4 linked regions of the Oryctolagus cuniculus genome follow. The protein of the gene in region 1 purifies or fractionates together with the protein of each later gene. This does not show direct contact. Links are inferred from orthologs where the notes say so. Each region holds a gene or a part of one and is shown in the gene's direction. Other genes may lie near its edges.

Region 1 (7,154 bases):
CCACCGGTGGAGGATTAACCTAATGCGCCATGGTTCCAGCCCTTGAACACCTGCAGTTCTTACAATTCAGGCTTAGGCTCTGGGCACAGCAGTCAACGTGCCACTTGGAACACCTGTGTCCCAGAGTGGAGTGCCTGGGTTCAAGTCCCAGCTTCATTCAGCTTCCTAACGATGTGCACCTTGGGAGGCAGCAGGTGGACGGCAGGTCTTTGCCCTCCACGTGGGACACCCAGTTTGAGATCCGGGCACCTGGCTTCAGCCTGACCCAGCCCCAGGCTACTGCAGGCATCTGGGGAGGGACCCAGCAGATGGACCCAGGAACTTGCCATCTGGATCAATCCCACATGGGTAGCAGGGGCCCAAGTACTGGAGCTGTCGTGGTGTGCTGCCTCCCCTGGAGTGCAGGATACAGGCATCCCATGAAGAATTGTAACTGCTGTGGCAAACAGCCACCCCTCGCTGTCTGCTTTTAAAGATTTATTCATTTATTTGAAAGGCAGAGTTACAGAGTGGAGAGGCAAAAAGAGAGAGAGAGAGGGAGGGAGGGAGGAAAGGGGAGAGAGAGAGAGAGAGAGAGGTCATTTGTCCTCACCGTGAGCTGATGGCGACATCCCCCTAACCTTGTCTACCCTACGCCTTCAGTGCCACACTAAGGCTCGTGTTTCACTGGACAGCCTGGGTTCTGGAGCATAGCCAAGCTGACACGCAGAACTAATCATCGCGGCCCCTTCCCGAGTCATGAGCCCTTGGGGGGCTGAGGTCTCCACACAACGGCCGGAGCTGCACTGATCTGAAGCCAGGAACCAGGAGCTTCTTCCAGGTCTCCCACATGGGTTCAGGGGCCCAAGGACTTGGGCCATCTTCTACCACTTTCCCAGGCCACAGCAAAGAGCTGGATCGGAAGTGGAGCAGCCGCGGACTAGAACGGGCGCCCCTATGCGATGCCAGCACTGCAGGCCAGGGCATTGATCCTCTGCGCCACAGCGCTGGCCCCAAGACCCCTATTTCTTTGCTGGGCTAGGGGGCGCCCCCACCCCACTCCTGTCCTCCTAAGTTGGCCAGTGCCTGTCATGGTCAGGACTGGGTGCCCTGGGGGTCAGTGAGTGAGCAGGGAGAGCCATCCAATGGGGAAGGGGAAGGCCACGCCCCCTTTCCCAGTAGCCACAGCCTGTGCCAGGGCAGCCCTGCCAGGAGCCCGGGGGTGCCTCATAGCAGCACACCGTGGATCAGCACGGGTCTGTCAGTCATCACTCTGACGTCACTTCCTCAGTGCCAGGCCTGCCCCGGGCATTTCACCAATGTGACTCAGGTAAGCTGCCGAGCCCCGTGATGTGGATGCACCTGCTCCCCGCACTGTGCAGTAAAGACCAGACACAGAAAGCGCCCGTACCGCGGACTCCATGCACCTCTACCCATAGGCACACAGGAGCCACGGCTGCCGACCCCACACCCCAGGCAGCCTTGGTCCTCCCTCTGAGCCTCCTTCTCCCCATCAGCCACAGCCAGAGAGATCGCGAGGCCCACATGTGAATCCTGCTCCGCTGAGAGAGGCACCCACGTGAAAGCAGCGGGGACTGGGGTGCCGCCGTTAAGATGCCGCCAGGTCTTGGCCGCTGTGCCGGCATCCCGTGTGAGCACCCGTTCGAGTCTTGGCTGCTCCACTCCCCATCCAGCTCTCTGCTGTGGCCTGGGAAAAGCAGTAGAAGATGGCCCAAGTGTTTGGGCCCCTGCACCCTTGTGGGAGGGAGACCCAGAAGAAGCTCTTGGATCCTGGCTTCAGCCTGGCCTGGTGCTAGCTGTTGCGGCCAACTGGGGAGTGAACCAGCAGATGGAAAACCTCTCTCTCTCTCTTTCTCTCTCTCAGACTCTCCCCCTCTCTCTATGATTCGTGACTTTGAAATAGATAGGTGAATCTTTTTTAAAAATTTATTTATTTATTTGAAAGACAGTTACAGAGAGGTAGAAATGGAGAGATATTCCATCTGCTGATTCACTCCCCAAATGGCTGCAATGGCCAGAGCTGCACTGATCCAAAGCCAGGAGCCAAGAGCTTCTTCCAGGTCTCCCACATGAGTGCAGGAGCCCAAGGACTTGGGCCATCTTCCACTGCTTTCCCAGGCCATAGCAGAGAGAGGGATCAGAAGAGGAGCATTCAGGACTAGAACCGGTGCCCATATGGGGTGCTGGTGCCACAGGCCAGGGCTTCAACCCGCTGCACCACAACGCTGGCCCCCAGATACATAAATCTTAAAAAAAAAAAAAAAAAAAAAGATGCCAACCAGAGCTCCTGCATCCCACATGGGAGCGTCTGGGCTCACTCGTGGTTCCTCTGCTGCCCTTCCAGTTCCGTGCTAATGAGCATCCTGGGACACAACAGGTGATGCTTGGGTCCCTGCCAACCACGTGGGAGACCTGGATGGAGTCCCTGGCTCCAGGCTTTGGCTTGGCCCAACCTTGGCTATCGCAGGCATTTAAGGAGTGAACCATTGAATGAAAGTTCTCTCTCTCTCTCTCTCTCTCTCTCTCTCTCTGTGCTTTTCAAATAAAATGAAATCAATAAAAAAAAATTTTTAAAGCCAGAAACCAGGTCTGTTGAGGAGCCAAATACCGGGACTGTTTAGGAACAGGCAGAACCCGGTTCTGGTCCTGGTCGCCAGCCCAGGCTGGGAGGGAGGGAAGCCAAGGAAAAGGGAATTTCAAGTTTATCGGCAAGTTCAGCGGCAAGGGTGACACCAGGGGCAGGAAGGGCAGGACCCTCTCCAGGGGAGTGGACGTGGCTCGCACTGTCCCCTCCCCGCTGGCTGAGGAGGGCGTGCCACTCTTGCACTTGTGCTAAACAGCACCAAGCCTGCCGAACTTTGCACGACCCAGCCTGCGAGACGGGAGGCCAGGTTTATATCTGCTGGGAACAGGGGCGGGGCCACCTCGAGGGGCGGGGCTTTGTCTCGCCCCGCCCCTTCCCGGAGCTCCGCGTTCCGCTGCGGTAACCTGTGGACCCGGCAACGGACAGGGCTCGCAGCCTGCCAGATCCTAGAAGACAGTGAGCGGGAAGTCGTGATTGGTTCTCCCCGAGGGGGTGGGCGGGCCCTCCGCCTGCCCAGTGCCCTCGCCGCGGGGAGGCGTTGCCGGGAGAGGCGGGGGGGGGGGGTCTGAGAGGGAAGGGGCGTGGCCGCACGCGGGCGGCCGTTGGCAGCCCGGCCCCGCCCCGGATGGGGGCGTCACGGGGCCGAGGCCGCGGCGATTGGCCGGCGCGGCGCGGGGGGCGGGGCGGAAGGTTCTGGAGGGGGCTGGCGGGCTCTGGAAGCTTCCGCCGGACGGGTATATAGAGTCGGGCCGGGCGGCGGCGGCGGAGCCGGGTACGGCGGGGCCGCGGGCGGGCGCCATGGGCAAGGATTACTACCAGACGCTGGGCCTGGCCCGCGGCGCGTCGGACGAGGAGGTGAAGCGGGCCTACCGCCGCCAGGCGCTGCGGTACCACCCGGACAAGAACAAGGAGCCCGGCGCCGAGGAGCGGTTCAAGGAGATCGCCGAGGCCTACGACGTGCTGAGCGACCCGCGCAAGCGCGAGATCTTCGACCGCTACGGGGAGGAGGGTGCGTGCGCGCGGCCGCGGCGCGCGGGGAAACCGAGGCACGCGCGCCGCCGGCCGGGGGTGGGGGGCTGCTGAGAGGGCCCCCGGCGGGCGGAGGAGGAGCCCCGGCTCGCCGCTCGCGCAGAAGCTTCCAGCACGTCCGGGCGGCCCCTCCCTGGGTCTGCACCCGGTGCGGGCCGGGGCGGGGGGCGCGGCGGGGGGCGGCCGGGTCTCGGCCTGCCCAGCTGCCCGTCGGTGACTCACCGGCTTCCGGGCTCGGTCCTGAGCCAGTAGAGTGTGTTTTTTTTTTTTCCGATCATCAGGGCAGCGGCGATTGGTGCTGGGACGGGAGAGCTTCAGAAAGCTTCCGGGGTGTCTTTGGTTGGCCTGCATTTGCCCACGTTCTCTCTGGGCTCAGGGGACGTGGCCGCCGCTCTTCCCCCCTCTCCCCCACCCCGGGTCATGTCTGGGTCTCTTGGTGGATTCTTGGGAGGATCAGCCGGGAGCAGGCAGGGGCCGGGCCTTGGTGGCTGTCACCTGCGGGCCGAGGCCCCCAGTGTCTGCAGCGGCAGGTGCAAGCTTGGGGTCCGGCCCTCGGCGGGCTGAGAGCAATCCCGCCCCGCCCCCTCACGTCCCTGCGTTTTTGCTTCGCAGGCCTGAAGGGCGGCGGCCCCTGCGGGGGCAGCGGCGGCGGGGCCAACGGGACGTCCTTCAGCTACACGTTCCATGGCGACCCGCACGCCATGTTTGCCGAGTTCTTCGGAGGCCGGAACCCCTTTGACACGTTCTTTGGGCAGCGGAACGGGGAAGAGGGCATGGACATCGACGACCCGTTCGCCGGCTTCCCCATGGGCGTGGGCGGCTTCACCAACATGAACTTCGGCCGCTCGCGCCCGGCCCAGGAGCCCACCCGCAAGAAGCAAGACCCGCCCGTCACGCACGACCTCAGGGTCTCCCTGGAAGAGATCTACAGCGGCTGCACCAAGAAGATGAAGATCTCCCACAAGCGGCTGAACCCCGACGGCAAGAGCATCCGGAACGAAGACAAGATCCTGACGATCGAGGTGAAGCGGGGCTGGAAAGAGGGCACCAAGATCACCTTCCCCAAGGAGGGGGACCAGACCTCCAGCAACATCCCCGCCGACATCGTGTTCGTGCTCAAGGACAAGCCACACAACATCTTCAAGAGAGACGGCTCGGACGTCATCTACCCGGCCCGCGTCAGCCTGCGGGAGGTGAGGCCGCGGGGGTGGGGAGCCGTGGGGGTGCGCTGGGGGCGGGCGGGGCTCCCCAGGCTCTCGCGGCTGACCGCTGTCCTACCCCCCCCCACCCCCGCCCAGGCCCTGTGCGGCTGCACGGTGAACGTGCCGACTCTGGACGGCCGCAGCATCCCCGTTGTCTTCAAAGACGTCATCAGGCCCGGCATGCGGCGGAAGGTGCCGGGCGAAGGCCTGCCCCTCCCCAAGACGCCGGAGAAGCGCGGGGACCTCATCATCGAATTTGAGGTGGTCTTCCCCGAAAGGATCCCCCAGACGTCGAGAACCGTCCTGGAGCAGGTTCTGCCCATCTAGCGCCCCCACACACCCACCCACCCACCGCCCCCGCATCATCCGGGCGCCGCCGGCCCCAGGGACCTCGCCAGAGCTCAGCGTCTCCGGCTACCCCGGCACTCGTGGACCGTGAGAGGGCGGGAGGGCCCGGGAGCCTGATCCTGCTCTATGTTTTCCAGAGAATATATTACAATCTTTGAAAGTCGTGCACTCGACTGTGCTGGTTTTTCGGGCGGCGGAGCGGCAGGTGGTGGGCAGAGCAGGACGAGGCCCGCCCCGCCCCACGCTCCTCCAGACACCTCCCCCCCCCCGCACCTGCAGCTGGGTCCTGTGCTTTGTCTCCCCTGCTCCATGCCTCCCCCCACCCCCACCCCCCGGCTCATCCTGGCCATCTCAGGTGGAGAAAGCTAGACTCTGCAGAACTGCCCGGCCGGCGCCCACAAGCAATACCTTCCTCTTTCCAGCGGGACCACGGGAGCCCGGGAGCTCACGGAGACGGGGCCCAGCCGTGCTTTGCCGAGAGCGAGCTCTGGGCAGCTCCGGGTGCCCTTTCTGTTCCATGGACTCTGGACTTTGTTTTGTTTCGTTTCGTTTTGTTTCTCTCTCAAAGGGATCTGATCCTTCGGAATTTTGCACAACCCTGGAGAGATGTATAGAGACATAGCTATAATCCCTTTTGATAAAAGGGTCTTTGCTCCCGATTGCAGGAGCCTGTAAATGTTTTTATAACTCCCCGTCAGGCCGGGGTGCCCCCAGACGGGCCCTGCCCTGCCCCCATGGCCCCGGGCGGAGGCGGGGTCTATTCCCGGGACACCCGTCTGGTGCTCAGCCCCTTGAGACTCATTGTACGTTGCCACTGCCGACATGAGACCAAAGTGTGTGTGACTTGTCGCTGTGCAGGGTGATGGCATTAAAGACTGTATGAGAAACCTCCCGGGAGCGGCCCTCGGCTCGTGTTTGGTTCTGGGCACCGGGTGGGGGGGTGCGGGGGGTGGGAGGTTCCAGCGGGAGGGGGGAGGGTGCCTGCAGGGGCGAGATAAAGCCCTGCCTGAGTGCACACAGCCAGAGCCTCCCAGGGGCGCTGGGTTCACACTGGGGTTGTGAAGTCTGAGGCCAAGGGCAGGCAAGGGCAGGGCTGGTCACTGCCGCCCAAGGGAGCTGTGGGGCTGCCCTTGACCCTTCCCCACAGTGCCTCTCCTCAGACCTGGCCGAAACGCACAAGGAAATTTGCAGCTGGCCGGCCCCGCCCTGGGAAAGACTGGTTTCTGGTCCTGGCTAGGGACGCTGCTGTGACTTTGTAACTTTTTTAAGGAACTGGTTTTTCTAAGGCAAGTAATTACCACGGGCTTAAAAGGATGTGTTGCTACTTTGCTACAGAAGTGTAGCCACTGCTTGGAAGTGAACTTGACACACGTAAAACAATGTAGTCACTTAGTCCGGGAACCTGTAGCTCTGGAGAACCTCCCATGTATCTTATTTAAGCATTACTTTTCAAAATGTGTCTGTGCGGTGATGTTTTTATCTGAAAGGCAGAGAGCGCTTCCATCTGCTGGTTCATTCCCAAGGGTCTGCAGCAGCCAGGGCTGGGCCAGGCTGGGCCAGAACCAGGCGCTCTGTCAGGGTCTCCCACATGTCCAGGCACCTCCTAGGGTGCAGGTGCGCAGAAGGCTGTAAGCACTCTGCCAAGGGGTGTCCCAAGCAGCTGTCTTCAGTTTAAATGTCTTTAAAGGGAACATCTCAGGGCCACAGTCGCTAGCGGCTCCCACTGGTCGGCGCAGGTCTGGGGTCCCTATCCCCAAGAGCAGCCAGGTTGAGCCATGAGACCACTGCAGGCCCCTGGAAAGTCACCCACGAGGGGCTGTTATCAAGGGAGCCAGTTACTGAGCTATCTTGGGCACCAAGGTCGCGTTGGCCCCAGGCGGGATCCCGGGTCACCCAGGCCACCAGCCCCATCCCAGAGGCTGCTCTGCTGGGCAGAGGGTCCCCGTGAACTTGACCTGAGCTGCAGGAAGCCTCAGGGTAGACAGGGCTCT
Region 2 (7,140 bases), on another chromosome or scaffold:
TTTGCAAATACATTGGTCCCCAATTTAACAAAAGTTTGACGTGAATTTTTGACTTCACAATAGTGTGAGGAAACAGAAACCATACTTTGAATCCTGAATTTTGATCTTTTTGCTCATTAGTGATGTGGAACTATATTCTCTTGAGATACTGGGGAGTGGCAGAAAGCCTCAGTTCTTGGTAAGCTACCAAGAATAAGCAACTTAAACACTACAGTGTGCTGTTGCTAAGCTATGTTAGATAGATTAAACATATCAAATGTGTTTTTGATGGGGCTGGCGCTTTGGTGCAGCGGGTTAAAGCCCTGGCCTGAAGCACCGGCATCTCATATGGGTGCTGGTTCTAGTCCCAGCTGCTCCTCTTCCAATCCAGCTCTCTGCTGTGGCCTGGGAAAGCAGTAGAAAATGGCCCAAGTCCTTGGGCCCCTGCACCCATGTGGGAGGCCTGGAGGAAGCTCCTGGCTTCTGGCTTCAGACCCGCGCAGCTCCGGCAGTTGCGGCCATCTGGGGAGTGAGCCAGCAGATGGAGGACCTCTCTGTCTCTACCTCTCTCTCTGTGTCTTTCAAATAAAATAAATCTTTAAAAAAAAGTGTCTTTGACTTAGAATATTTTAAAATTATGAATACAATTATGACTAACCCATTATAAGTCAAGAAGTATTGAAGGGGCTGGTGTTGTGGCATAGTGGTTAAAGCCACTGCTTTTGACACCAGCATGCCTTATGGGTGCTGATTTGTGTCCCAGCTGCTCCACTTCTGATTCAGCTCCCTGCTAATGGCCTGCAAAAACAGCAGAAGATGGCCCAAGTGTTTGGGCCCCTGCCACCCACAGCTGACTTGGATGAAACTCCTGGCATCAGCCTGGCCCAGGCCTGGCTGTTAATGACCGTCTGGGAAGTGAACCAGTGGATGGAAGATTCATTCTCTCTCTCTTTCAAAATAAAATCTTAGGGAAAAAAAGAAGTATCTGTGGTTGAGAAAAGTTCCAAGTGAATGAGAAGTTCTCGAAGGGTGCTTGGTATACTCAGGGAAAAGCAAGAAGGCTAGTAGGTCTGAAGCAGCATGGGCTAGGAGAGTAATGATCAACTTTGAGGCTTTTCTAAGGACCTTGGCTTTTATGCTGATCTGAGGATCTACTGAAGGTTTCTGAGAGTAAGTGCTGTCATCCACCTTAATTAGGATTATTGCAGTTGAGAATACACATGAGAAGCAAGAGTGGAAGTATGAACCAAAGAGGGACGCTCAATGATCCAGGTGCAAGTTGACCAGGTTACGTGGACCTAGTGGAAATGGAGCTGAGGGAAGAATCTTGGACATACTGTGAAGGTAGCATTCATGTGATTACTGATGGACTGGATCTAGGACATGAGAGAAAGTCCAAGGTGAATCTAAAGTCTCTTGAGAGACATCAAGCCATTCACAAAATGTGTTGGGATATCGAGTTTAATGTTTGGCAAAAATATGTTTAATGAGATCGGTCAAATAACACCCTATACCAAAAGCTTACTAGTATTTAGAATGAGTACAGATGGAATTGGGATCCAGGCTTAAGAGTTCCCTCTCTGCTAAAGTATTTAAGTGGTGATGGTCACTGATGAAAGGTTGTGATTCAGCTTCAAAGCTGTTATTACCATTTCCATGCCTTCAGTTTTCATACTTGCAATACGAACATTCTTGTAACGTGAGCTATCCTGAGAGCGGAGCAAAGCACAATATTTTAAATACAGCGGCCCTGCTCCATCTTTTACTGATATTTACTGGATTTTTGTTGTTGTCGTTAACAGATTTAATACGTTGGGTGTGAAGTGACCATTACCAACTATTTAAAATACCAGAAAAAATTTTTGTAGGCATAAAAGTGAAATTCCCTTTCTTGGAATGTGTGGGAATTAAATTCACTTTGCTTCGCATCTGGAGCTAGACAGGCAAAGACGGGATAGCTGCTTCATTCTTTCTCAGTAGCGTCAGTGTGGTCCAGGCTGTTATTCTCAGAAAAGTGACTTGGTCAAGTACAGACTGCCGAGGAGGCGGTGTCCTTCTATGTCTTCTGCTTTGCAAAGGGACCTTTTCTCCCTGTCGGCAGAAACCTGAATGTTTTTTCGTTCTTGCTTTGAATTCTGGGTGCTGAAAGGAAGTAAACGAAACCATCGGTGAGCCATGCACCCACAGCCTGCCCACCGTGTGGTATGGTAACTCCGCATAGGGGGAGTTGGCTACTTTTATGCTGCACCAAGAGTCGGGGCTTGGGTGTTCGCTGGGTCTCCGCGCCGATTTCGGGTTGTTCCAGGAGCAGAGAGCAGCCGACTACGTTAGGTGCTCCCCTTTTTGGGTCCTCCCATCCCAGAGTCTCGGAGGCCTTAGCTCCTGAGGCCCACCCTCGAGCTTTTGCGGCCAGCTAGCCCCCTCCAGGCCCCGCCACCCCCAGCCCGCGCGCGCCGCGCCTGCCCTTCTTTGGCCACGCAGCCGCGGCGGAGTCGGCGCGTCCTCGCGAGCCGCCCCCGCGGGCGTCAGAGAGAGGCGGGCGCCCCGCGCGGTGACGGCGACGCCTGCGGCCCGGGAGCGCTCCACTCGCCACCGCGGGAGAGGCCGGTGACCTCTCGGCCGCCCCGCCTCAGAGGCTCAGATGGCTCAGGCGAAGATTAACGCCAAAGCCAACGAGGGGCGCTTCTGCCGCTCCTCCTCCATGGCCGACCGCTCCAGCCGCCTGCTGGAGAGTCTGGACCAGCTCGAGCTCAGGTGAGCGGCCGGCGGGCCGGCGAGGGGCACGCGGCGGGCTCGGGCGTCCTGCTCGCCGCGTGGGCGGCCGGCGGGCGGAGGCCCCGCCTGGGGCAAGCGGCGGCGAGAGAAGTTGCTTGTTGGGGTGGTGTGGATGGAGGCGGTGCGGTTTTGTGTCCTGGCAGGTTTTCCTCTCCTCGCTGAGAGAAAACGCGTTCCGTCCCAGCTAACCTGTGAGCACGTTATTGATGGACACGTGAACACACCTGTGTGTTTTAGCGAATACCCAGAGAAGATAAAAGTTAGGGTGATGGTAATGGAGATTATTTCCAGAACCTTCTCTGGGGTCCCAAAGATCTTTAAGCCCCCCCCCCCCAAGGTTGCGAGTTAAGGGAAAAAGATTAAAGTGTTCTCCCCACCCCACCCCACCCCCCGTGAAGTTTTCTTGTTCCAAAGCACTTCAGAGCAGAAAGGGGGGGGACCCCAGGAATGCATCTAAGAGCAAAAATTGTAGAGCAGTAGGCCAAGGGAGGGGCTGTAGGAGGAACAGTAACTGGGTCCTGTACCTCGTGGATTAAAGACATTATGGCTGCCTTTGCTCTCCTAAGCCCACATACTGTGTTCCAGTATTTATTTTCTTAATATTTATTACCTTACATAAAAGATGCTGCTGAGACCTTAAAAGTGCTAGTCACTGGCCCGAAAGCATGAAAAGATAGTCAACAGTTTTTCCTTTTTCCCTTGATGACAGTTTTAAGTAAGTAAGATAGTGATAGGCTTGTATAGAATGTCTAAGTAGTAATAAGTTTTGGAAATGGCTTTTTCCTTTAACAGTGTATAAAAACGTATATGTACTATCTATGAACATTTGTGTCTGAAGTTAGTGTCTGCGTTGTGGTTGTGTGCAGGTATAGTTAGGTGAAAATCTTGAGACACGCATAGCCCCCTGACACTGTACATAGGATTTGGTTCAGTAGTTTCTGCCAAGCTCTGAAGGCGCAAAGGAGTGTGGAAGCCCCAAAGTGTAAACAGTGCTGTATTGTGTGTCCTTCTCTCCCTCCATTAATATAGCAAAACATGAAGAAGTGTCTGTTTGCCCAGAAAAGATACCAGTAACCACAGTGTCTGCTAGTAAAAAAAGATTCGCTATTACTACTGGGAGGAAATCGCCAGAAAGTGTGAAATTCTCCACTCACAATTCCAGGGATGGCAACAGAGCCACCTGGGCCCTAAGCCAGGTACTGGGGTTCACTTAGGGTGCGACAAGTTGAAGAGAGAAGCAATGCTTCCTTATGGATTGCCACAGAATCAGCAAACCTGGGTTCAACACCCAGAGAAAGTGGAGTGAAACTACAGTGGCCTCAGCTACTCCAAGCCCCTCTAAGGAATGGGATTTCTTTTGTGTAGCAGCTTAGTAAGTACCTTAGACTTCTCTCCAGGCGTTCTCTACTAGCCTCTCTCCCCCAGTCAGAGAGAACAGGTTTTCTCTTATAGGAATGAGGAGCATGTTCCCCCTCCTTCCTTCCTTCCTTCCTTCCAATGACAAGCTGAGTCATTGTCCTCACATGTGGTAGGCACAAAAGCAGTCAAGTGCTCCTCTTCTAAAACAAGGCCTCTGATTTGGGGTATTACTGTATTTCTGATATTTGGTGAATGTCAAATGAATTCTGATTACTGCACATAAGTGATTAAATTACAAGTTGCTTAATTACCACTTGGGCTGAAGGAGGAAAGTCTGATTAATATGTGTGTTAATTGTTCATTTCAAGGGCTTCTCGAATAATTCTAGAGTTTTGTTTCTTCCTTTTAAAAAGAGTAATACTGAAAACTAAACAAGTGTTTCAGAAGGTTCGCAAAAATAGAGAAAAATGCTACTGCTGATCCTAACTGAAGTTTGGATGATACCATGCAGGCAATGTGCAGAGCATTGTACCAGTGAAAACTAGAATCGTGCCTAGAGGGAGGTCGAGTTTTCAAACATGAAATTCATATATAATTTATTCTCATCGTTTGAGGTCATATTAAGTAACACTAATAAAGTAGTTATGTTAGTAGAGTGAGGCATTTTAGCTTGTACTTAGAAGTATGCATGTACTGTTCTCTAATGCTAGTTTGATGTTTGGGAAGGAAACTTCTTCCCTCTGAAACCAAAAACAGGATTATACCCAGTGCTTGATGACCTGGAATATTTGGCCTTCCTGATGCTTAAAATGCTGTAAAATGTTTGGCAGTCTTCTTCAGTTTGTTTCTGATACTTGATTGTTACACAAGCCTTGCTTTTTTGACTGCATTTTGTCTCCAGATTGCGTCCCCAAAGAGGCAGTTCCTTTCTCTCCTGGTTTTCATGATTTCTGAATGGAATATAATTTTACATTTGTCAATAGCTCAAGCTACTCTGCTAATTATCTTTTTAGACATTTATCATTTATAAATAATACAGCTTACATGTCAGGCTCCATATCTGTGTGGAAATTACTGTAATCTGCACTCTACAGATGAGAAACTGAGGCTTAGAAACTAAAGACTCATCCAAGGTCATACCACCAGAGAGTAGTGTGCTTTAAATCTGAACACAGGAAGTCTGGCTCGCAAGGCTCTAAGACTTCATGCCTTAATTCTCTTAAATACATCATAATTTTAAATGTAGAAATGATATGATTTTACTGACAGGAAAATGCATTTTCAAGTAGCCTTTAGTTCAGTAAATATTAAACACCCGGGATCTGCCAGATACCGGGTAGACCCCAGAAGGCTCAGAATGGTAAGGAAAATATTTGAGGAATGGGTTTTGGAGACTGTCAGAGAGCAAAATGATAGGACTGGGAGATGGGCTGCTCACATATTTCCCAAAACTGATCATGTAATGGCTGCCTCCCTCCTCCTGTCTGCCATTTTCTGTGCTTATCGTGCCACAGGAAATGAAGTCCCGGGTCGGGGGTTATATGGATAATTCATCTGCTTCAGTTTCCTTGTGAGGTGGTACTAGCATTCCAGGGCAGATGGCTTCATAGTTATTATGGTAAAAACAGCCTGTAATTTCAAAGAACACTTTGCCTCCAAGCTGTCATTTGAAACTCACAAAAACCCTTTGAGGTAGAAAGAGGGCCCATGTTATCGGTTTTAGAAATGTAAGAACACAGAGGTCCAGGGGAATTAAGTGGCTTGCGCAAGGCTGTTGTCATTCCTGACTTAGTGCCTTAACACTAAAAACACCCGTCCCTTTTTTACAGGAGAGTATTTTGATAGTGAATGTAATTTATCGTTTTGGTAATCATTAGGAAAATCCTTCCAAGTTTTGCATTGCTTAAAATATTAAGTGATTGTTGTAGCATTCTTCTGATAATGTGAAGAGTCAAATGGTTTAATAGGCAGTCTGGAAACTGAGGGTGGAAAATGTTCCCCCCAGAAAGTTATCCTTAGCAAGGTCAGAAGTGTCTGCCTGCCCACTCCTTGGGAGCTTCCAATCTTATCACGAAAATAGCAAGGGAGTGGTGACTCTACCCTTCAGAGCTCCAGTTTATTGTGAAAACAAATTAGATATCGCACCCTTGTGATGGTTGTTTTATTGTGAACAAGCCAGGCAGGATGAAGAATTGTAAATAAGGTCCTGTGTTGGGGTTGTCCCCCACCTTATTGATTGACAGTTTCATCCCAAAATTATACTTAAAAACCCCAGTGCCACAGGGTGCTTTGGGGGTTTTTCCTTTCTTGGGAGCCCCCCTCCATGCTGCTCTGGATGGTGGTCTTTGACTCTAATAAATCTTTAAATCTCTCTGCTTACCCACTTAGAAAATATTCTTCCATGTGAGACAAAGAACCCAGGTATGTTCTCCACCACCGTTTTCCCATAACAGTAACAGGAATATTGAAGCAGAACAGGACTGTGCTGTGACTTGAAGAACTTGTTTCAGAAGTCATTTCTCTCATATGGGCATTTGCCATTTTCCTTCCTTTTGTGAAAACACAAGTTCTTGTTACTAACAGATAGAAGTTTATGTTGATAATGGTAAGTATAGAATACCTTCTGGGCACATTACACATAGTCGCTCACACGAACAATACTGCTGCAGCTCTGTCGGGCACTGTGTTAACCTGCTTCACCTCAGTCATGACCGTCAGCTCCTTCTTAGCCTTATTTCATAGGTGAGGAATTGAGGAAGAGAGGAAGTGTTCAAGGTCACACGGCTAGCAAGTGGCAGTGCCCATGCAGTTGGCACTGCCTACTCTATTAGCAGACATATCAATAGTAGCCAGTCTAGATGAAATTGTCGTTGTATCTCTTCTAAGTCTCCCAACAGGGTGTTTTTTTGCTTCTTTATTCTGGGGCAGCTGGACCAGCTGAGGATGCCTGTGCTGTCCTTTTGTCCTCAGCTTGTGTTGTCAAAGCCTGCTTAGTGTGATTTCCTGGAGACGGTTTTCCAGGAGCAC
Region 3 (7,352 bases), on another chromosome or scaffold:
CACGGCAGGCCTGGGTGACCGCCCGCCCCGGCCTCCCTGCCTCAGCCCTGAGGCCCTCACAGGACCCGCTGTCTGGATTCTGGGAAGCCACAGGATGGCCTGGGCGGGGCCGGGCTTTGGACAGCTCGGAAGCAACCGTGCCTGGGGCCGGGGCCTCAGCCTGGCCGGCGCAGGTCAGCTCTGCCACCAGGGGGCGAGCACCCTCACCGGAGTCCCTGTTCTTCGCGGGGAGACCAGAGTCCAGAAGGCTGAGCCAGTCTCCCCGCGGGGTGGTGCTGGGGCGTGGACACAGGTCCTGCTGCCTACAGCCTTCCTGGTGTGGGGGCCGCCAGGACCGGGCCCATCCCTGGCCATGGTCTCCCGGGAGCCCCTTGCTGTCCTCACCTACGCTCCTGTCTCCCGTGTTACCTGGGCAGCATTGGTGACTTTCCCTGTCCCGGGCACCCAAGTCGGACCTGGGTGCCCGCACCCCCAAGCCCACACATGGGTACCTGCACCCCAAAGCCCACAGCTGTGCCTATACCCCCGAGCCCACACCTGTGCCTGCACCCCAAAGCCCACAGCTGTGCCTGCACCCCCGAGCCCACACCTGGGTGCCCGCACACCCAAGCCCACACCTGTGCCTGCACCCCCGAGCCCACACCTGTGCCCGCACCCCCGAGCCTACACCTGGGTGCCCGCACTCCCAAGCCCACACCTGTGCCTGTACCCCCGAGCCTACACCTGGGTGCCCGCACCCCCGAGCCCACACCTGTGCCTGTACCCCCGAGCCCATACCTGTGCCTTCACCCCTGAGCCCACACCTGTGCCTGTACCCCCGAGCCCATACCTGTGCCTGCACCCCGAGCCCACACCTGGGTGCCTGCACCCCCGAGCTCACACCTGGGTGCCTGCACCCCCGAGCTCACACTTGGGTACCCGCACCCCCAAGCCCACACCTGGGTGCCTGCACTCCCAGGCCCACACCTGGGCGCCTGCACCCCCCGAGCCCACACCTGGGTGCCTGCACCCCCCGAGCCCACACCTGGATGCCTGCACCCCCGAGCCCACACCTGGGCGCCTGCACCCCTGGGCCCAGCTGAGCCTCTAGCATCTGTCACCACCCCTTTCCCTCTGGGAAGCCAGAGTTCCTGCCCCAGGCCTCCCCACCTTGCAGGTTTCCCCTGAAGTGGCTCTTCCTCCAGGAAGCCGTCCCTGACTGCCTCTCAGCCGTCTCCCACCACCAGTCCTGCTGCGCCGGGGTGCTGGCTTCTCTGGCTCATGGGCCTTGAAGCCCAGGACCTGGGTTGTGGGTGCGGGTCCTGTCCATGTGAGGGTCCAGGGAATGCCCCTTGGGCCAGGCAGGTCTGGAACCGTGGGAGGGGCCCAGCAGAGGTCCAGGGATGCACTTGGCAGGTGACAAGTGGCTGATGGGCTTCCAGCCAACATGGTGTGGGACAGGAGCGGAGCTGCCCACGGCCAGGGACGGCTGGGACGGGAGCGGAGCTGCCCACGGCCAGGGGCGGCGGGGACGGGAGCGGAGCTGCCCACGGCCAGGGACGGCTGGGACGGGAGCGGGGCTGCCCACGGCCAGGGACGGCGAGGACGGGAGCGGGGCTGCCCACGGCCAGGGACGGCGGGGACGGGAGCGGGGCTGCCCACGGCCAGGGGCGGCGGGGACGGGAGCGGAGCTGCCCACGGCCAGGGGCGGCGGGGACAGAGGCAGCGGGGACAGGAGCAGAGCTGCTCACGGCCAGGGACAGCTGGGACAGGAGCGGAGCTGCCCACGGCCAGGGGCGGCGGGGACAGGAGCGGAGCTGCCCACGGCCAGGGACGGCGGGGACGGGAGCGGAGCTGCCCACGGCCAGGGGCGGCGGGGACGGGAGCGGAGCTGCCCACGGCCAGGGGCGGCGGGGACAGAGGCAGCGGGGACAGGAGCAGAGCTGCTCACGGCCAGGGACAGCTGGGACAGGAGCGGAGCTGCCCACAGCCAGGGGCGGTGGGGACAGGAGCGGAGCTGCTCACTGCCAGGGACGGCTGGGACAGGAGCGGAGCTGCCCACTGCCAGGGCGGCTGGCATTGGGCCACTGGGTCCTGTCCCCACAGCTGTGACTGGTGGCCCTTATCTGTTTCATTTCACCGAAGGCAGCCGGCTCCTGTCCTCCACTGTGACACGGGGCTGGGTGCTACAGGTCCCTGCCGTGTCCCTCAGTCCTTGTCCCAGGGCATCGCAGTCCCAGGAAGCCAGGAGAGCAGGGACAGAGGGGGCAGCAGGGACGGCTGCAGGTGGGCAGGGCGACCTCACACTGGCACAAAGCATCCAGACCACAGTTCCCTGGGGGGGTCAGCCCGTGGCCCCACCCATCCCATCTCCTAGAAAACCAAGCCCACTGCTTCCATCGCCCTCTAACTGGGTGCTCGGGCTGCAGCCCTGGAGGGTCCCAGTGTCCTGCTGTCCCTCCCGGCCATGTCACTGCAGCCTCTGCCCCACTCTCCCGTCCCCACTCAAACGCTGGTTCCCAGGGACCCTCTCCCTGGGCCTGGTCTGCTGCCCACCTGCCAGGAGCGTGACCCCGGCTGTCAGAGCTTCTGCCCACCTCCCTTAGCTGTCGACCTCCGAGAGTCGGTGTGAACGCGGGGAGAGGCGCAGAGCCAGACCAGAGCAGCAGGGAGGGCCAGCACTGTGGGCCCAGCTGTCCAGCATCTGCACCTTCCGGCTGCAGTGACCGGAGCAGCCTCCCAGTCCCCATCGCTCCCTCCCCGGCATTGTTTGCTCTCGAATCTTGGTGAGACTGGCATGTCACGTGTGTTGGTGCCCACGCGAGCCTCTGCGTGGATGGGTGTGTGTGCGCCCAGGAGTGCCTGTGTGGGTGTGCCTCTGTGGATGCGTGCATGCGCACACGCGTGCCTCTTCGTGGGTGCGTGTGCGTGCGTGTTGGCTGCGGAGGGACTGTTGCCACAGCCCAGTGGACCGCGGCGTGAGGGACAGGTGCACCCGTCCGGCCGCTGCCTTGCGGTTCGGAAGGGATGCGGGGGTGGGGCTCGCCGGTGCGGAGCGCGGCGGACGTCATGGGGCTCAGAGACCACAGAACGCCTTCGCCGCCTCAGCCCGGGTGGCGGGTGAGACCCCCACAACCCGAGATGTGCTGAGGCACGCAGACGCCCGCCCCGGGCTCGCCCAGCGCTCCTGCGCCCCAGGGCAGCGGGGAGGCCCCGGCTCCGGGAGCCGGCTGACGCGGGCGCTCGGGGCTCCCGGGTCTGCGCGCGCGGGCCTTTCACCAGCTCCGAGCGGGTGGCCCTTCCTGGAAGCCCAGTCGCCCGGACCCACCCACCGGCGGCGGAGAGCGCCCTGCTCCGCGACGCCCCGCCCCTCCCCGCCCCCCGCGGCGCTCAGCCAATGGGTGGATGCGGCTCTCCGGCGACCTCGGCCAATGAGCCGCGGGGGACGGGCCCAGTGCCGGCAGCGGCGATGGCGGCGGAGGCGGCTCCGCGGCGCGTGGGCTTTGTGGGCGCCGGCCGCATGGCGGAGGCCATCGCGCGGGGCCTCATCCGAGCAGGTAGCGGGCTCGGGGCGGGAGGGCGCCCGCGGGTCCCCTCCGGACCGCGCTCCCGGGCGCACAGCCGGCTGTCCGCGGCCACGCGGGCTGGCGTGCGGAGTGCGGCGCTCCCGGGTTCTGTAGACCTAGGACTGGGGAGAGGGGCGGGGAGGGAGGGGAGGGGAGAGGAGGGGAGAGGCAGGCCGAGGACGTGGCTCGCTTCCGCACCGTGCCTGGACGTGCTGTCACGTAGAGCGCTCTTAGGTTAGCTCCATCCGTCTCCTCCGCTTTTGGAAGTGCGGTTACGTGGGCGGCTCCTGGAGACGGTGCTGGCCCGCGTGGCCCGCTTCCTGGCCTCACGGCCTGGGTGAGGTTCACCCTCCTGAGCCCCAGGCTGGTTTTTCCGTCTGTGCGCCCTCAGTCCTGTGGACGTCTGCGGCCCTAGGGTGTTGGGCATCCCCGGCGGCTGTCTGTCGGGAGATGCGGACAGCCAGGTGTCTCCTGGGCGGGGGGAGGGGGCATCGCCCGCGCACCCTCCCAGAGCTTGGAAAGCTGCACCTGCCACGCGGGCACCGGGAGGGGCGACCTTTGCCTTTCTGCCCTCGTCAGCCAGAGCTCATGGTGCAGAGGAGTGGGGAGCAGCCGGGAGAGCGCCCAGCAGGTCTCGGGGATCACCTGCCTCCCCGGCTCCACGGGCTCCGGGAGCCGCTGTCACAGATGTTGAGCCCAAGCGGCCACCCTGATGCCCGGCTGTGTCCAGGGGCTGATGGGCTGTCTTCCTGTTCAGCCCGGTCTCCCCAGCTCCCTGCCACGTGGCCATCCCAGCACCACCACCCCCTTCCAGGGAAGCTTGGCCCCAGTGAGCCTTCTGTGGTCAGGTGCCTTCAGAACCAGGACAACTCCCTGGCCTGGTGCTCCCTTTGGGCCACCGTACTGTGCTGCCCTCCCCACTGCCCCGGCCAGTAAGCCCCTGGGGTCCGTGTGCTCACTGGACAGGCCAAGCTCCTGGCCCCTATGTCCAGCAGCAGGCAGGGGGCGGTGGCTGCCCCATGAAATCAGTGCACCTGCTGTGTCGCCCCAGGCGGGCGGGACATCACCCAGTCTCTAGGGGCCAGGGCTGGGCGGGGCGGGGGGAGCAGACTCCTCCCACCCTCTCACCGCCCCCTCTGCCTTCTCCATTCTCTCCAGGGAAGGTGGAAGCGCAGCATGTGATGGCCAGCGCACCGACAGACAGGAACCTCTGCCACTTCCGGGTGAGTGGACGAGTGTGGGGAGCAACCTGGACTAGACTAAGTTACTCGAATTAAGACTTATTCTATGCACCTGCTCTCCCACAATATGGCGCTGGGAGAGGAGAAAACAGCTTCTACCCAGCTGCCTCCAGTTCAACCAATAAACAGTAGGACTTGCTCCTGATTGGAGGAGAGCAGCGTACTCGGCGTGTGGGCAGCCGAGTTGGGATTGGTGGAAGAGGACTATAAAGGAGGAGAGAGACAACATGCACCAGGAACATCTAAGGGGAACACCTGAGGAACACCTGAGCAGCCCCCGAGAAGCCCCCGAGAGAGCTGGCCGGCGGTGTGCCGCTCCCCTGCGGAAGTGGGGAATGTGGCAGGGGGAACCGCCCTTCCACGGAGGTGGAAGGGATAGTAGCCAACCCGGGAAGAACCAGCAGCAAACCCGGGGAGGGCCGAGCAGACGAAAGAACAGCGCAGGGTTCTGTGTCGTTCCTCCACGAAGAGGGGGAGCGACATAATGGTGCCGTGACTCGGATAGGAAGCCTAGGCAGGGCTTAGTGTCGTTCCTCCATGAAGAGGGGGAGCGACATAGTGGTGCCGTGACTCGGATAGGAAACCCAGGACGGATAGGAAACTTAGGACGGATAGGATACCTAAGAGGGAAGAAACGGGAAGAAGTGGAAAATGCCAGAGAGAGAGACTAGCAAACAGCCTAGGGAAAAGCCGGACGAAAAAGGTGCCAGAAGAAGCTATTGAAAGCCTAGGCATAGACTCGGATACGGACTGTGGGAAAGAAGTTAGGATTTAAAGTGAAAGCAAGAAGAAACTTAGACTCAGATACGGACTGCAGGTTGAAAGTGAAAGTGAAACCTATAAGAAACTTAGACTTGGATACGGACTGTGGGGAGAGGCCAGGAGAAATGAGGGAGGAATATTGTTGGAAGAAAACTTAGGGAAACATACCGGGTAGAGAAAAATGTTAGGGAGGATGAAGCCGCAAGTGCAGGCCAAGGTGGAAACGGAAGCCATCTTGGAATTCTTCAAGTCAGCCCGGGGAGCAAGAGGCGAAAATCTGGAACCAGAGGCAGAGACGTGGGCCGCCAGGTTGGAATTCGCCAGGTTAGTCCGGGGAACTTGGACTGAATGCCGATGGTGGCGGAAACATTCGCGGAAGCCGCCGCGTGCAGAGAGAGCACGGGGCGTGAATAGATAGGGAACGCGGGGCTGGCGTGAGGCCGTGGTGCAGGCGCGAAGTGCGTGGAGACTGCGGAGCGTGCGCGCAGAGCCGGGAACCCGCCGGTGGGGCGAGGCGCCGGGAAGCCGCGCAGAGCCGTGAAGCTGCCGCGGGGCGAGGTGCCGAGAAGCAGCCTCGGGGCGGGCGCCGCCGGGAAGCCGCGGGGATAAGAGAAACAGAAGTTTAGAAGTAAAATGAGAGAAATAGGAATGTTGGCAGACAGAAGTAAAATGGGAGAAATAGGAATGCCTGGAGATAGAGAAATAGAGAAATAGAAAGACCTCCCCACAATACTGCAATGAGAAGGCTTGGATTCGGTCTGCCTGATTAGTGAGGCGATGAGCACCTGCGGGCGGCTAGCAGCTTATGCGCCGTAGGTCACCGAAGACAGGCACGAATTAACATCAATAAGGCCTCCCCACAACACAGCAATGAGAGAGCTTGGATTCGGTCTGCCTGATTAGTAAGGCGGTAAGCACCAGCAGGCAGCTCGACCAGAGTATGAGCTGCAGGTCACCGAAGATAGGCACGAACCAACACTAATAAGTCTCCCCCACAATACAGCAATGAGAAGGCTTGGATTCGGTTTGCCTGATTGTTAGGGCTTGTAAGCCCCTGCAGGCAGAGCAGAGCATGCGCTGCAGGGCACCGAACACAGGCACGCATCAGCGCCTAAAAACCTCCTCACAACATGGCGAAGAGAGGACCCGGATTCGGTTTGCCTGATTGATAGGACTTGTAAGAACCTGTGGCAACTCTAGCAAGCAGAGCAGAGTGTGTGCCACGGGGCACCGAAGACAGGCGCGTATCAACGCCAAAAAATAAAAAGAAAGGGGGATCTGTGGGGAGCAACCTGGACTAGACTAAGTTACTCGAATTAAGACTTATTCTATGCACCTGCTCTCCCACAATATGGCGCTGGGAGAGGAGAAAACAGCTTCTACCCAGCTGCCTCCAGTTCAACCAATAAACAGTAGGACTTGCTCCTGATTGGAGGAGAGCAGCGTACTCGGCGTGTGGGCAGCCGAGTTGGGATTGGTGGAAGAGGACTATAAAGGAGGAGAGAGACAACATGCACCAGGAACATCTAAGGGGAACACCTGAGGAACACCTGAGCAGCCCCCGAGAAGCCCCCGAGAGAGCTGGCCGGCGGTGTGCCGCTCCCCTGCGGAAGTGGGGAATGTGGCAGGGGGAACCGCCCTTCCACGGAGGTGGAAGGGATAGTAGCCAACCCGGGAAGAACCAGCAGCAAACCCGGGGAGGGCCGAGCAGACGAAAGAACAGCGCAGGGTTCTGTGTCGTTCCTCCACGAAGAGGGGGAGCGACAGACGAGGGGTCCCCCAGGGGCCCAGGGCGACGCCTGTC
Region 4 (7,403 bases), on another chromosome or scaffold:
GTACCTGGCTCCAGGCTTCAGATCAGATCAGCTCAGCTCCGGCCGCTGTGGCCAAATGGGCAGTGAGCCAGCAGATGGAAGCCCCCCCGCCCCCCCGTCTGTAACTCTACCTGTCAAATAAATAACTAAAATCTCACGTCCCAGATGCGGGGCTGAGACAGGAGGCAGGAGCTCCGTCGTGGTCTCCCACATGGTGGCACCTGGGCCCTTGCCCACGGCCCTCCCAGACGCACTGGCAGGAAGCTGAGTCGGAGGCAGAGCGGCCGGGTCTCAGAGCGGCACTGTGGCAGGGGACGCTGATCTGGTGGCATCACAACACCAGCCCTGGCACCAGCACCACTGCAGGCAGCGGGGACGCACGCGGCGCCACGTGGCCCCACCGGGCGGGACCTGTGCGTGGCGGTGTCCACGGGGCCACGGGGCGAGCCTGTGCAGGAAGCACCAGCACCACCACACACGACTCCACCGCTGCTTCAGCAACACAGTTCACGGTCAAAAAGCACAAGAGGGGCCGCTGTCGCGGCGTAACAGGTGCCAGCACCCCGTACCGGCACAGGTTCAAGTCCTGGCTGCTCCACTTCCCATCCAGCCCCTGCTAACGCTCCTGGGGAAGCAGCAGAGGACGGCCCAGCCCTTGGGCCCCTGCCACGCGCATGGAGACCCAGGTGGAGCTCCTGGCTCCTGGGTTCACCCTGGCCCAGCCCTGACCACAGCAGCTGTCTGGGCAGTGACCAGCAGCAGATCTCTCTCTCTCTGTCTCTAACTGCCTTTCAAATAAATAATGTATGCATGCCTTAAAGATCCTGCAGGTAAGCTACGAGACCCCCGGCGCACACCACCCAGGACGCGGTCTGGGAGGGGCAGGGTGCGGGGACACTGGGCAGCTGAGGTTTCGCTGGGCTGGGGTGAGAGCGACGCCTGACAGGAGTTCTGCAGTGCTTCTGTTAGGAGCCAGGGGCCAGAGAGGGAATGCAGCGCGCGGGACGGACTCAGGGGCGGAACAGAGAACGAAGGAGAGACACGGACACCAGAGAGACGCGGACACGAGGGAGAGACGGATACGAGGGAGACATGGACACGAGGGAGAGACGGATACGAGGGAGAGATGCGGACACGAGGGAGAGATGCGGACACGAGGGAGAGACGGATACGAGGGAGACATGGACACGAGGGAGAGACGCGGACACGAGGGAGAGACGTGGACACGTGGGAGAGACGTGGACACGAGGGAGAGACGCGGACACGAGGGAGAGACGCGGACACGAGGGAGAGATGCGGACACGAGGGAGACGCGGACACGTGGGAGACGCGGACACGAGGGAGAGATGTGGACACGAGGGAGAGACGGACACGAGGGAGACGTGGACACGTGGGAGAGACGTGGACACGTGGGGGAGACGTGGACACGAGGGAGAGACGTGGACACGTGGGAGAGACGTGGACACGAGGGAGAGACGCGGACACGAGGGAGAGACAGACACGTGGGAGACGCGGACACGAGGGAGAGATGTGGACACGAGGGAGAGACGGACACGAGGGAGACGTGGACACGTGGGAGAGACGTGGACACGTGGGGGAGACGTGGACACGTGGGGGAGACGTGGACACGTGGGAGAGACGTGGACACGTGGGAGAGATGTGGACACATAGGAGAGACGTACTCACCCTGGAAGGCGCCCTCGGGAACACCCGACCTGGGGCGCCCGCAGCAGGCCCAGCACACACGACTGCCCTGGGCAACAGCGGCTCCCCAGCTCCCTCCAACACCCGGCAGCACGGACACTCGGACCCCGAGCACACGGCGGGGGTCACAATGCTGGACGCGGCCAAGCGGCTCCGGCTCTGCCCTGCCTCTTCCGGAGAGCACCGGACCACACGGCCCCAGACGGCCCTGGACCACACGGCCCTGCACGCCACTGGACCACGCGGGCCCTGCACGCCACTGGACCACGCGGGCCCGCACAGGACACGACCACACGACCCGCACAGGACCAGACCACACAGCCCCAGACGGCCCCGGACCACACAGCCCCAGACGGCCCTGGACCACACGGCCCTGCACAGCACCGGACCACACGGCCCTGCACGCCACTGGATCACACGGGCCCGCACAGCCCCTGACCACACGGCCCGCACAGCCCCTGACCACACGGGCCCGCACAGCCCCTGACCACACGGCCCGCACAGACCGGACCACACAGCCCCGCACAGCCCCTGACCACACGGCCCGCACAGACCGGACCACACAGCCCCGCACAGCCCCTGACCACACGGCCCGCACAGACCGGACCACACAGCCCCACACAGCCCCTGACCACACGGCCCGCACAGACCGGACCACACGGCCCGCACAGCCCCTGACCACACGGCCCTGCACGCCACTGGACCACACAGTCCCAGACGGCCCCGGACCACACGGCCCTGCACAGCCCCTGACCACACGGCCCGCACAGGACCTGACCACACAGCCCGCACAGCCCCTGACCACACGGCCCGCACAGGACCTGACCACACGGCCCGCACAGCCCCTGCGCGGGTCCGGTTCTCCAGCAAGCAGCCTGCGGGACCTGTTGCGGCGCTGGCACCGGCGCCCAAACCGGCCGCGGAAACGCCGCACCCCGCGCAACCCTCTCGTTGCTACACGGCTGCCCCCGCCAGCGCCTTTCAGAGGCTGAATCCTCCCCAGACACCCGCGAGCCTGGTGGGTGTGCGCGCGTGGGAGCGGAAGTCGGGGCGGCGGCCGCACGAAAACCCGCAGGCCCAAAGTGTCGCAACGGCCAGCGGGCTCCCTCTCGTCGCTCCGTAACCACTGCCGGGCCCGGCTCCGCGCCGGCCTCACCGCCCCTCTCGTCGCTCCGTAACCACTGCCGGGCCCGGCTCCGCGCCGGCCTCACCGCCCCTCTCGTCGCTCCGTAACCACTGCCCGGCCCGGCTCCGCGCCGGCCTCACCGCCCCTCTCCTCGCTCCGTAACCACTGCCCGGCCCGGCTCCGCGCCGGCCTCACCGCCCCGGCCCGCCAGCGCCTGAGGACAAGCACGGCCGGCCGCACGCCGCGGCCGCAGCCACTCGCCGAGCCCCTCCGGGCGCTTCTGGAACTCGCCCTCGGGCAAACACCAGGTCCGTGCACCGCGGCGGTGGGCGCCAGACCGGGGGCGGCCCGGCAGCCCCGGCAGCGCGCTTACCCCGCTCGGCGCTGCTTCCCTGCGCTCCGCACCGCGCTCCGGGGCCCGCCGCCCGCCGCCGCCCGCGAAGGCCCGGCAGAGGGGCGGGACGAGGGTCCGCGGCGCCCGCCGCACCGCCGCCATGGGGCCGCGCCCACCTTGCTCCCGCGGCACCCGGCGGCGTTCGCGACGGCGAGCGGGGCTGCCTTACGGCAGGGTCGCAAAGCCGGCGGGCGCGCCGCGGAGGGGCCGACCGCGCGCTTTTCCCGCGGTGACACGGCTCGCGGAGGGGGTCTGTGGGGACGGGGCGGCGCGGAGGAGGCCTGCCGGGACCGGGCAGCGCGGGCGAACGCCGGCGACAGTTCCCCGATCCCTGTCGTCCCAGAGGCCCGGGGCGCGGCTCGAGGTGAGGCGCGGGCGCGGAGCCGTCTTTTCCCAGGGCTTGGGGGTGGTCGGCCCCGGACGGGGGCGCCGCGGGCTCTGCGGAAGTCGTGGGCGGCAGCGGAGCGCGTGATGGCGCGGGTGAGTGGTGCGGGGGCGCCGGCGATCGCGTCTGCTCTCTCCGCGCGCGCGCCGGCGCGGGGCTCCGCCGGGCCACCCTGCTCCCCCCCACGGGCTCCCACGCGGCCGCGCCTGGCCGGGTTCCCCGCCGGGCTGGGCCCCGCTCCGCGCCCCTCCCGCCCGTCCTCGCGGGGCGCCCGGGCCTCGGCCTCCCCCGCGCGCCCATTGTGAGGTCAGGGCCGGCGGCGAGCCGGGGGCCCGGGGCCGAGACGCCCGGAGCGGCCGCTGCGGCCAGTAGCTGCCGCCGCCGCCGGCCCCTTCACCGGCCGCCCCGTCCAGACCGAGCCGGGGGGCTGAAGGGGATGCCGTTAGGGGCCCGGCCCCGCCGCCGCACCCGGTGAAGGGCTGATCTTCCACCTCGCCGCCGCGCCTCCGGGGAGCCGGGACCTCCGCCGGGTAAAGTGCGAGAGGGAGGGAGGCCCGGGCCCGCGGCGGCGCCCGCGGGCCCTCGTGGGAGGCAGTGCAGGCAGAGTGGGCGCTGTCCCGGGCGGGGAGCCCCGGCGGAGCTTGGGGCCCCGTCGCGGGGCCTGTCCCGCATTCTGCTGGCCCGGGCGTGCCCTGCGGGCTGTTCTGTGCCGCGGGCCGGGCGGCCCCTCGGGCTGGCCCTGGGCCTGCCGGCCGGGGTCCGCGGACCTGCCGGCGGCCGCTCTGAATGAGCTCTCTTGTCGCCCCGCAGCGCTCGTGAGCCCAGGCAGCGGAGCATGGACATGGGAAACCAGCACCCGGCCATCAGCAGGCTGCAGGAGATCCAGCGGGAGGTGAAGGCCGTGGAGCCGCAGGTGCTGGGCTTCAGCGGGCTGGCGGACGACAAGGCCTACCGGAGGCTGGAGCGCATGCTCACGCGGCAGCTGTTCGAGATCGACTCCGTGGACACCGAGGGCAGGGGGGACGTCCAGCAGGCGCGGAAGCGGGCGGCGCAGGAGACGGAGCGGCTGCTCAAGGAGCTGGAGCAGAACGCCAGCCACCCGCGCCGCCTGGAGATCCGGAACCTGTTCCGCGAGGCGCAGGCGCTGGCGCAGGACGAGATCGCGCCCTTGCACAGCGGGGGAGGCTGCGCCGCGGACGAGGTGGAGGAGCGCCTGCAGGACATCGTGCTGCGGCTGACGCACGTCAAGACCGGCGGCAAGGTCTCGCTGCGCAAAGCCCGCTACCGCGCGCTGAGCAGGGTGTGCGCCGTGCAGGAGATCCTGGAGGACTGCCTGCGGAAGCAGCCGTCGCTGCCGCTGTCCGAGGACGCGCACCCGTGCGTCGCCAGGATCAACGCCGTGATGTGCACGGTGAGCAAGGCCCGCGGCACGGTGGTCGCGCTGCTGATGGGCGTGTGCGCCGACGAGACCTGCCGGCACCTGTCCTGCGTGCTCTCGGGGCTGCTGGCCGACCTGGACGCGCTGGACGTGGCCGGGCACCCGGACATCAGGAACTACCGGAGGGAGGTGGTGGAGGACATCCACAAGCTGCTCAAGTACCTGGAGCTGGAGGAGGAGGCGGACACGACCCGCGCCTTCGACCTGGGCCAGAACCAGTCCATCCTCGAGATAGAGAAGGTGCGCGCCAGGACGCGGGAGGTCAGGGCCGAGCTTCTGCGCGCGCAGAGCCCGGCCGAGCTGTACCTGAGCTCCAAGACGGAGCTGCAGGGCCTCATCGGGCAGCTGGACGAGGTGAGCCTGGAGAAGAACCCCTGCATCCGGGAGGCGCGCAGACGGGCGGTGATCGAGGTGCAGACGCTGGTCACCTACGTGGACCTGAAGGAGGCGCTGGAGAAGAGGAAGCAGAGCGTGGGCGCCGAGCACCCGTCCCACCAGGCCGTCTGGAGCGTCCTGGGGAACCTGTCGGAGATCCAGGGGGAGGTCCTGTCCTTCGACGGCAATCGCAGCGACAAGAACTACATCCGGCTGGAGGAGCTGCTCACCAAGCAGCTGCTGGCCCTGGACGCGGTCGACCCGCAGGGCGAGGAGAAGTGCAAGGCCGCGCGCAAGCAGGCCGTGAAGCTGGCGCAAAACATCCTCAGCTACCTGGACCTCAAGTCGGACGAGTGGGAGTACTGACCGCGAGTGGGCACCGGCCGCGAGGGGGCACCGGCCGCGAGTGGGCACCGGCCGCGAGGGGGCACTGGCTGCGAGTGGGGCACTGGCTGCGAGTGGGGCACCGGCGCGAGTGGGGCACTGAGCCCGCGAGTGGGCGCCCGCGAGTGGGAGCACTGAGCGGCGGGTGCGGAGCCCGCGCGGCGGCCCGGCGTGTTTTGCACTGCGTGAGACCTCCACATCTCGTGGCGCGCCCGCTCCCCAGCCGGGCTGTGGTTTGTACTTGCATATTTCAGTCTCAGTATTTGTAACTTGATGAAATTATATTCAGTACCTGCTGCTTTTGATGTCGCTAAGCAGCTGTCATTACAGGACGGCCCCTTCGTCCCCTCCCTCCCTCCCGGGCGGGCGCGAGGTCTGTGGCTGGTGTTCCCCGCTTTCCATCAGAAAGGGAAGTAGATGTAGTTCTTGTGATTGTAAGTGGGGGTGTGCACGTATTAATACGCAAATTTAAGCGTAAACTGGGCATGACTTCACGGAATACTGGAAGAATTATGAGAAGGGGGAAGTTTTGGTTCCACAGTGCAGTGGGGCACAGACCCCCCCACCCCCCACCCCGGGTTTGCGCTGAGGCCCCGCCCAGCCCGGGGGTGGGTGTGTCCTGCTCCGGTCTCTGTCTCTGAGAAGTTAACCCTCTGTGTGCCGCGTGATCATGAAGACACCCAGCAGCCTCGGAGAGGGGAGCGGAGCGCCGGCTGTCAGACGCCCTCGGCTGGGTTTGCTGTGGATCTGCACCCGAGGGCCCGGTGCCAGGAGGATGAGAACCCCGGGCCGGTCACAGGAGGCGGCGTCTGCTGCCCGGGGCCGCTCCGAGCCCACCGCCGGCAGGGAGAGGCTGCGCCCGGCACGCGGCAGGGCGGCCCTGTCCGCACTTCCCGAGGACCGCGTGTGCCCGTGCCCTGGCAGTGCCTTTCCCGGAGCGGCCCTGACGAGGGCACGGTGCCCCGAGTCGGCAGCCGGGCAGGAGGTGAGAGGTAGAGGAATAGGCTTAAGTGCCTGCGAGGAGCTGAGGTCGGCCCCAGAGGTGCGGCCCCTCCTGCTGCACACGCAGACCCTGTGTGCTGGGGCTGGAGCCCTGGCGCCTGCCGGTGCTCAGCGCAGTCCCTGGAGTGCTCATCTGGCCCGGCGCTGTGGGCACGTTAGCGTCAGCCTCTCCCCTCAGCGCCCGACGCTCTGACAGCTGACGTCTGGTTTCTGCGGCCGTGCGGCCGGCGCACTGGAGCGGTCCGCGTCGGCCCTGAGTGGCCGTCCAGCACGGACTGCGTCCCTTCCGAGCCTGTCTGTGCCACGGCTGCTGCCCACAACCAGCCCTCACGCACGGGGCCTGTGGCGCCCGAGCCCGTGGGAGCCGCCGTGTGCCCGAGCCGACGCCTGTACGCCCGGGGTGTGTTAGCTTTTCGCGCTTGTTTTACGTCGCTGGTTTTTATCTGGTTTCGGGGGTCTGTGTTCATTTTGTCTGCAAAGCTTGTACCACGCCGGTGTTTTCCCTGGGGAGGAGTGGCCGATCGCGGTGCGCTGGGTCCCCGCCCCTGTTAACCACGGGACCGTTGGTACCGATTAGCGCCCTTGGTGATCCACGCAATAAATCTCGGCTTCATGT

Evidence for each region.
Region 2: the proteins of DNAJB1 (region 1) and BAG2 purify together in Homo sapiens (affinity purification with mass spectrometry; 4 studies listed by BioGRID and IntAct, with this or other methods). This does not show direct contact. The link is inferred for Oryctolagus cuniculus from reciprocal best matches to the Homo sapiens genes DNAJB1 and BAG2.
Region 3: the proteins of DNAJB1 (region 1) and PYCR3 purify together in Homo sapiens (affinity purification with mass spectrometry; 3 studies listed by BioGRID and IntAct, with this or other methods). This does not show direct contact. The link is inferred for Oryctolagus cuniculus from reciprocal best matches to the Homo sapiens genes DNAJB1 and PYCR3.
Region 4: the proteins of DNAJB1 (region 1) and BAG5 purify together in Homo sapiens (affinity purification with mass spectrometry; 3 studies listed by BioGRID and IntAct, with this or other methods). This does not show direct contact. The link is inferred for Oryctolagus cuniculus from reciprocal best matches to the Homo sapiens genes DNAJB1 and BAG5.

Annotation. Positions count from the first base shown.
Region 1 is NC_091447.1:63,135,947-63,143,100, reverse strand, and holds DNAJB1 (dnaJ homolog subfamily B member 1), read left to right. Parts: upstream 1-3,274; 5' UTR 3,275-3,382; coding exon 3,383-3,593; intron 3,594-4,225; coding exon 4,226-4,806; intron 4,807-4,911; coding exon 4,912-5,142; 3' UTR 5,143-6,055; downstream 6,056-7,154. UniProt on the Homo sapiens protein: Interacts with HSP70 and can stimulate its ATPase activity. Stimulates the association between HSC70 and HIP. Negatively regulates heat shock-induced HSF1 transcriptional activity during the attenuation and recovery phase period of the heat shock response.
Region 2 is NC_091436.1:112,403,021-112,410,160, reverse strand, and holds the start of BAG2 (BAG family molecular chaperone regulator 2), read left to right. Parts: upstream 1-2,458; 5' UTR 2,459-2,620; coding exon 2,621-2,733; intron 2,734-7,140. UniProt on the Homo sapiens protein: Co-chaperone for HSP70 and HSC70 chaperone proteins. Acts as a nucleotide-exchange factor (NEF) promoting the release of ADP from the HSP70 and HSC70 proteins thereby triggering client/substrate protein release.
Region 3 is NC_091437.1:167,533,262-167,540,613, reverse strand, and holds the start of PYCR3 (pyrroline-5-carboxylate reductase 3), read left to right. Parts: upstream 1-3,375; 5' UTR 3,376-3,376; coding exon 3,377-3,536; intron 3,537-4,703; coding exon 4,704-4,768; intron 4,769-7,352.
Region 4 is NC_091451.1:46,386,470-46,393,872, reverse strand, and holds BAG5 (BAG family molecular chaperone regulator 5), read left to right. Parts: upstream 1-2,981; 5' UTR 2,982-3,117; intron 3,118-3,182; coding exon of another isoform or gene 3,183-3,305; exon of another isoform or gene 3,306-3,374; intron 3,375-3,406; exon of another isoform or gene 3,407-3,683; intron 3,684-3,976; exon of another isoform or gene 3,977-4,118; intron 4,119-4,398; 5' UTR 4,399-4,423; coding exon 4,424-5,767; 3' UTR 5,768-5,907; downstream 5,908-7,403. UniProt on the Homo sapiens protein: Co-chaperone for HSP/HSP70 proteins. It functions as a nucleotide-exchange factor promoting the release of ADP from HSP70, thereby activating HSP70-mediated protein refolding.